Macaca mulatta: one gene and its partner. The protein of the gene in region 1 interacts with the protein of each later gene in a pairwise test. Links are inferred from orthologs where the notes say so. Each region holds a gene or a part of one and is shown in the gene's direction. Other genes may lie near its edges.

The links. The genes of interacting proteins can lie anywhere in the genome.
Region 2: the proteins of LMTK2 (region 1) and MYO6 interact in a two-hybrid assay, tested with the Homo sapiens proteins (2 studies listed by BioGRID). The link is inferred for Macaca mulatta from reciprocal best matches to the Homo sapiens genes LMTK2 and MYO6.

The regions. Positions count from the first base shown.
Region 1 is NC_133408.1:45,286,457-45,290,756, forward strand, and holds the start of LMTK2 (serine/threonine-protein kinase LMTK2), read left to right. Parts: upstream 1-1,500; 5' UTR 1,501-1,816; coding exon 1,817-1,916; intron 1,917-4,300. UniProt on the Homo sapiens protein: Phosphorylates PPP1C, phosphorylase b and CFTR.
Region 2 is NC_133409.1:109,843,821-109,847,320, reverse strand, and holds part of MYO6 (unconventional myosin-VI), read left to right. Parts: intron 1-2,716; coding exon 2,717-2,925; intron 2,926-3,500. UniProt on the Homo sapiens protein: Myosins are actin-based motor molecules with ATPase activity. Unconventional myosins serve in intracellular movements. Myosin 6 is a reverse-direction motor protein that moves towards the minus-end of actin filaments.

The DNA.
Region 1 (4,300 bases):
AGTACAACAGGGTGGTTGTGTCTCTTTCCTAGACCTTTGCCTTCCTTATTGATTCCACAAAGAATCAGCAGAAAGCCGTGAACTATTTTTTTGAAGACAGAGTCTTGCTGTGTTGCCCAGGCTGGAGTGCAGTAGTGCGATCTCAGGTCACTGCAACCTCCACCTCCTGGGTTCGAGCAATTCTCCTGCCTCAGCCTCCCAAGCAGCTGGGATTACAGGTGCACGCCACCATGCCTGGCTAATATTTTTTGTATTTTTAGTAGAGACGGGGTTTAACCATGTTGGTCAGGCTGGTCTCGAACTCCTGGCCTTAAGTGATTCACCCACCTCGGCCTCCCAAAGTGCTGAGATTACAGGCGTGAGCCACCATGCCCGGCCAAGCCATGGACTTTTAAATTCAATGTTTCTCGTTCCAGCTGTTTGTCTTATTAGATATTTATTGGCTTGCTTCAATCATCCAACAAATATTCCCTGGGCATCATCTGTGTGTCCAGTGCTGTGTTAACATCACCGACAGCTGTCATTTAGGATGGACATTTGGGGAGTTCGGAGAATTGGGGAGGTTACCCTGTTGCCAGGTGGCAAAGTCCCATCTGATAAGATTGAAATCAGCTCCTCTCATGCACACACTGAACCACAGCGCCTCTCCAGAAAAGCTTGGCATTTTCTCAACCCCCATGTCTCTGACCACTATATTACTTGTGTTTGGAGAGTGCTTTCTCTATCCTCTCTGCAGGACTGTGTTCTCACCTCAACTGTTGGTGGGGAGAAGGCCACCCCTGGGAGCTGCTCTGCCCTGGTACCTGGGACCAGGACTATGCACCATTGCTTTAGAGAACACCTGCTCCAACCCAGGTCCTGCACCAGGGATTTCCCCCCAGCTGAATCAGGGAGCTTACAACCACGGGTCAATAGGACACAGCAGCTGGGATAGCAGTCCATACAGGGCCAGGGCGGGCCATTAAGGAGATGACAGTCATTTCTCCTAGAGAGTCATGGATGAAGTCATATGTCAGTTGAGTCTCGACAGATGAAAGGAAGAGTGTGTGCCAGGTGGACAAGAGGCAACAGCTTGAGCTCAGGAGGTGAGTCAGTGGGTGACGCTGGGAGAGGCATTCTCTTCTTGATCAATTCAAGTGAAAAGCCCAAAGCTGTTGGATGGCTGAGAGGATGTGTAGGTCAACTTAAGGAGAAGAGCCTAAAACAGCTCTGACAAGTAAAAAAAAAAAAAGGCAGAAGACAGGCCTATTTTTGCATGTTATAAAACACTTAGAAAAAAATATCAGGATGATTGTCATGGTTTTCTTTACATTTTCCTGTATTTTTCAATTTAAAATAATTGTTGGTGTTACCTGCTGCCCACGCACTCTTCCGTCTGCAGGGGGCGCACCGGCCGCCACCGCTCACTCCTTCAGGATGATGGGCGGGGCCTCCTGGGCCGGTGTGGACTGACGAGTGGCTGGCCGCCCTGTCCATCTCGACGTCCCGCCCCCGCGCTACGTCACATGACGCAGCCCATCATGGCGGCGGGAGCGCGGCTGCCCGGGCCCGCTGCTCCGCAGGGCTGCTGCCGTTGCTGCTGTTGAGAGGCGGCGGCGGCGGCGCAGGCGGGAAGGATGGTGTTTCTGCGACTGGAGCGGCAGGTGCGGACCGGGAGCCGGACCGAGGTTTGGCAGAAGCAACGCGTGCTCAGGAGCAGCCGGCGCGGGTGCCGCTGAGGCAGCGGAGGGAGGCAGGACCGACTGACGGGCGAACGGACGGACGGACGGACGGAAGGCGACTAGAGAGCCGGCCCCGGAGCCGCGCCGTGGGCGAGATGCCGGGGCCGCCGGCGTTGCGGCGGCGGCTGTTGCTGCTGCTGGTCCTCCTGTTCGCTGGCAGTGCCGGGGCCGCGCCACTTCCGCAAACAGGTGCAGGTGAGCGGGCCCGCCGTGGGGACGGGGCTGCGGGAACAGGGCTGCGGGGTCCTCGGCGTGAGGGGGAGGGGACGGCAGGGCCGGGCCGGCCTCGGCGCCGAGGGATCGGAGGGCCTGCCCGGGGCGGGAATCCCAGGGAGGTGAGTGATTAGGGAGATTTCTGCCGCAGGGGCGTGGGATGGGGGGGCGGGGGCGAGACAACGTCGTTGGGGCTGGGGAGGGCGGCGGGCGAGGTGGCAGCCACCGACCCCTCCCGGGATAGGCTGCGGTACCGGCCCTGGACCTGTTGCCTTAAGGTTCTCAGCTTATATCGCTTCCTGGCAGTTCAGCTTCCCTTTCCAGATGTCACCTGCCTCTTGTGCGTTTTTCTCGCATCTCATAATAAGAACCGTTTCTTAGCCCTAATCGCACTTAAATGCAAATAACTTGGCGAGCTGTGCGGAGTTTGTTTCGCTCCTTGCAACTTATTCTGAAGTTGTAAATTGATTTTAGACTCTGTGCTTTTTATTCGGAATGTATCTCCGGGGATGAGAAGGAAACAACCATAAATATTTCTATTTTAGGAAGCCAGTGATTAGAGTAGCAGGCGTTGAATAACTATTGACAAACTGGCTTAAGGGTGATGGAAGTTTCTATTTTAGCTAACGTCAGTGTATGATTTTCTTCCCCCCGCCCCCCCCCCCGCATTTTCTCAACATCGTTTTTATTTGGGGTTTATTTTCCTAAATAAAACTTCAACCCAAGAAGACATCCAAAGTTGTGTCATTTTTCTAAAAAGGAAAAAAAAAATGTAGGCTAACTTGGCGTTATTGCCTGCCGCCATTATCTTTGAAATGGGGAAAGATTGAACTTTCATACATTCGTAGAATATTAGAGTTAGAAGAGACCTTAAAGAAAATTTAGACTAATTTCTTCGTTATGTAGTAGGAAATACTGGGGGTGTTGGGTCAGATGACCTACCCAAGGTGACACAGCTTCATTGTAGGCAGAGCCCCAAACCCAGGTCTTAGATACCTCTAGTTGTATGATTTTTTTTCCCATTTCATTTCAAGTCTTATAACTGTTTCGGAATACTTTTGAGGTCAAGAGTTATTTTGGAATAATGTTAATTGGGTAGAATGTGGATGTACTGTCTCCAGTAAAGACATATTTTTCAAACAAATCTGCGATGAAAGCTACATGTAATTGCTTCCAGAGCTACATCAGGGTAGCTGTCATTGAGTGCCCTTTAGTTGAACGTTAAATGTCCTCATTGTACCGTATAATGTAGCACTAAATTTCTGTCACTGCCTTAGATCAAATACTTGTGAGGTGAATTCCGTTTTCTGGTCTGATAGATAAGAAGAGTGAATGTTATCAGATGTGTATAGGCAACACCGGTAAGAGTCACAGAAGGGGCCGGGCGCGGTGGCTCAAGCCTGTAATCCCAGCACTTTGGGAGGCCGAGGCGGGTGGATCACGAGGTCAGGAGATCGAGACTATCCTGGCTAACATGGTGAAACCCCGTCTCTACTAAAAATACAAAAAACTAGCCGGGCGTGGTGGCGGGCGCCTGTAGTCTCAGCTACTTGGGAGGCTGAGGCGGGAGAATGGCGTGAACCCGGGAGGCGGAGCTTGCAGTGAGCCGAGATCACGCCACTGCACTCCAGCCTGGGAGACACAGCGAGACTCCGTCTCAAAAAAAAAAAAAAAAAAAAAAAAGAGTCACAGAAGGTACCTGGGAAATAATGAAAGATTATGTGGAAGGATGATAATGTTGATATTTAAAGATACTGAAAATTAGCACTAGTATAGGGTTGTAGGTAAAGAGTATGTGATGGGGATTCAAGAGAAGTTTCCAGATGACTTTACGCTTAATTGGATTTTTTATATTTTGAAATATCGATTCTTTGTAGGAACCTATGTCTTCCGGTACACTTTTGTTTTTGTTTTTGTTTTTTTTTGAGATGGAGTCTTGCTCTGTCGCCCAGGCTGGAGTGCATCCGCACGATCTTGGCTGACTGCAATCTCAACCTCCTGGGTTCAAGCAATTCTCTGCCTCAGCCTCCCGTGTAGCTGGGACTACAGGCCCCTGCCACTACGCCTGGCTAAGTTTTGTATTTTTAGTAGATACGGGGTTTCACCATCTTGGCCAGGCTGGTCTTGAACTCCTGACCTCGTGATTCACCTGCCTTGGCCTCCCAAAGTGCTGGGATTACAGGCATGAGCCTGGCCGCCTGTACACTTCTTACATGGTTTTTATTCCATTCTTTTACAATTCTATGGTGTCATGAATTATAAAAAACCGAGTATTGTTGGGGTATTGTAGAACAAAGCAATCAGAAAAGTTAATCTGTAAATAAAGGTATCAAATCTTGACATAGATAAAGCGTAAGGAAATATTT
Region 2 (3,500 bases), on another chromosome or scaffold:
TGTTGCTAAGAAAGATATTCCCCACAACTTTATACATAGGTGATGGGATGATCTGTGCATCAAACCCACCATGGCACACGTTCACCTGTGTAACAAACCTGCACATCCTGCACATGCATCCCTGAAATTAAAATAAAAGTTGAAGGCCGTGCGCGGTGGCTCATGCCTGTAATCCCAGCACTTTGGGATCACGAGGTCAGGAGATCAAGACCTTCCTGGCCAACATGGTGAAACCCTGTCTCTACTAAAAATACAAAAACTAGCTGGGCATGGTGGTGTGCACTTGTAATTCAAGCTATTGGGGAGGCTGAGGCAGGAGAATTGCTTGAACCCAGGAGGTAGAGATTGCAGTGAGCCAAGATCATGCTACTGCACTCCAGCCTGGCGACAGAGTGAGACTCCATCTAAAAAAAAAAAAAAAAATTAAAGTTGAAGCAAAAAGAAAACACAAAACACATATATTAAAAAAAAAAAAAACCAGATGTTTCTTCCACAAAAGAGCAACTAAAATACCATACTTTATTGGTGAGCTCTTGCATAATCATGACTGAGAGGATGAATGCAAATAATTTAATTTGTTTCATGCTTTTCTACTTTGAGAAACTAATTTTTCCATTATAAAAGTGACAGGGCACGGTGGCTCCCGCCTGTAATCCCAGAACTTCGGGAGGCCGAGGTGGGTGGATGACTTGAGGTCAGGAGGTTGAGAACAGCCTGGCCAACATGGTGAAATCCCGTCTCTACTAAAAATACAAAAGTTAGCCGGGTGTGGTCACACGCGCCTGTAGTTGCAGCTACTTGGGAGGCTGAGGCAGGAGAATTGCTTGAACCCAGGAGGCAGAGGTTGCAGTGAGCCAAGATTGTGCCACTGCACTCCAGCCTGGGCGACAGAGCGAGACTCTGTCTAAAAATAATTAAATAAATAAATGATAAAAGTAATATAATATTATAACAAATTTGGAGGCCAGATGTGATGGCTCATGCCTGTATTCCCAGCACTTTGGGAGGCCCAGGCAGATGGATCACCTGAGCTCAGGAGTTAGAGACCAACCTGGTCAACATGGCCAAAACCTGTCTCCACCAAAAATACAAAAAATTAGTTAGGCATGGTGGCATGAGCCTGTGGTCCCAAGGAGGCTGAGGTTACAGGATTGCTTGAGCCCAGGAGGTGGAGGTTGCAGTGAGCAGAGATTGCAGCACTGCACTCCAACCTAGGTGACAGACCCGTGGCTTAAAAAAAAAAAAAAAATTGGAGAAACCACTAAAAACCTCTTAATACCTCCACATTACCTCCACATTAACAAATTCAGTTAATATACTGTTGTATATCACAGTATATTTTTACTTTTATTTTTACAGTATAATTTTACTTGTTTTTACTTTACCTTACACTCTTTTATGCATAAATGTTTACATAGTTCTTAATCATAATATACATTTCAATTTCTATCTCTACCATTATGTTATATACTTGTCCATGTTAATACATTATCTTCATAGATACGATAATGTAATTTACTTAATTTTGTGAAAATAGCAATTTCCTCTCCAATTTTGTGGGAAAAAAATGGGACCCCTTTTTTTGTTTTGATTTTTATTTATTTGATTACTAGTGGAATTGAAGACTTTTCTGTGTTTGTTAATTATATTTCATATTTCATTAATTACATTTTGTATCTTTTCCTCAATTATATTTTAGAGTTTTAATGCTTTTTCTCAGTTTCATAGGTCAGCGCAAGTATGTGGGATATAATAAATATCTTAATGTGAGCATTTTATATTTTCTGCAGATACTTTATGTAAACAATGGCAATCTTGGAGGTAGAAAGGAAAAAAAGATCTGGAGGAAAATGAAAATGCTATAAATAGACTCAGCTGATTTTATAAATCTGTCAAGGGCCATCCTTGTTTATGTGGTGTTATAAATTAACCCACCCACATTTTCTGAAGGCGAAATCATCTAATAATTTTTGATATATTTAGTAATTTTTAAAGTATTCTCTAGGTACTATTTGAACATTATTATAAAGTAGTAGTAAACTCTTGCTAAATTAGCTGATCATTACTTAAGAAATATTGTTTTCTTTTTGAGACAAGAGTCTTGCTGTGTTGTGCAGGCTGGAGTGCAGTGGCGTGATCTCGGTTCACTGTAACCCCCGCCTCCCGGGTTCAAGCAATTCTCCTGCCTCAGCCTCCCGAGTAGCTGGGACTACAGGTGTGTACCACCATGCCTGGCTAATTTTTGTATTTTTTTTGTTAGAGACAGGATTTCACTATGTTGGCCAGGCTGGTCTCGAACTCCTGACCTCAGGTGATCTGCCCACCTCGGCCTCCCAAAGGGCTGGGATTACAGGCATGAGCCACCATACCCGGCCTAGAAATAATTTTTAACTGCAATATATTATCTTGTCCACAGTACACCTGTCTAATTGATGTCTAATACTTGTGTGCAGAGATAACATAAAACATTTTTTGAATAGTATTTAATGTACAAACAGTATAGCAAAGATAACGGACATATTGCTTACCATCTTACCTAGTTTTTACTGTATTTGCATACTGGAGTAGTTTTTTATTTTAAATTGTAAAAAAAAAAAAAACGTAAAATTTATCTTAACCATTTTTGAGTTTATAGTTCAGTATTGTTAAGTATATTCACATTGTTGTGCAACAGAAGAAATAAGCTTTTACGTACCTATTATTTTATTTTTTAAAGTCCACTATGATGACACGGGAACAAATACAGAAAGAATATGATGCACTGGTTAAAAGCTCAGAGCAACTCCTCAGTGCATTACAGAAAAAAAAACAGCAGGAAGAGGAAGCAGAAAGGCTGAGGCGTATTCAAGAAGAAATGGAAAAGGAAAGAAAAAGACGTGAAGAAGATGAAAAACGTCGAAGAAAGGAAGAGGAGGAAAGGCGGATGTGAGGCATTTATATTATTTTGAATAAGAGACTTAAATAGTGAATTATTGGTATTCACAGTGGTTAATGACAGTTCTTTTTTGTGTTTTGTTTTTGAGACAGGGTCTCGCTCTGTCACCCAGGCTGTGCAGTGGCGTGATCTCGGCTTACTGCACTTTGCCTCTCGGGTTCAATTGATTCTCCTGCCTCACCTCCTGAGTAGATGGGACTACAGGCACACATCACCACGCCTGGCTAATTTTTGTATTTGTATTAGAGACGGGGTTTCACTGTGTTGGCTAGGCTGGTCTCAAACTCCTGACCTCAGGGGATCCGCCCACCTCGGCCTCCCAAAGTGCTGGGATTACAGGCGTGAGCAACCGTGCCAAGTTGACAATTCTTAAAACGGTGTTCTTATTTTAATGAACTAATTTTGTAATAAGTTTGAAAATTGAGAAAATAAGCTCATTTTATGATAATGATAACATAAAATAATTTTAACTATAATCTGAATTTTAGTTAGACTCTTATACCTGAGGATTTTCTTCTTTTTAAAGCTATGATTTGTTTATTGTTTTCTAAGCTAGGTAAATGAC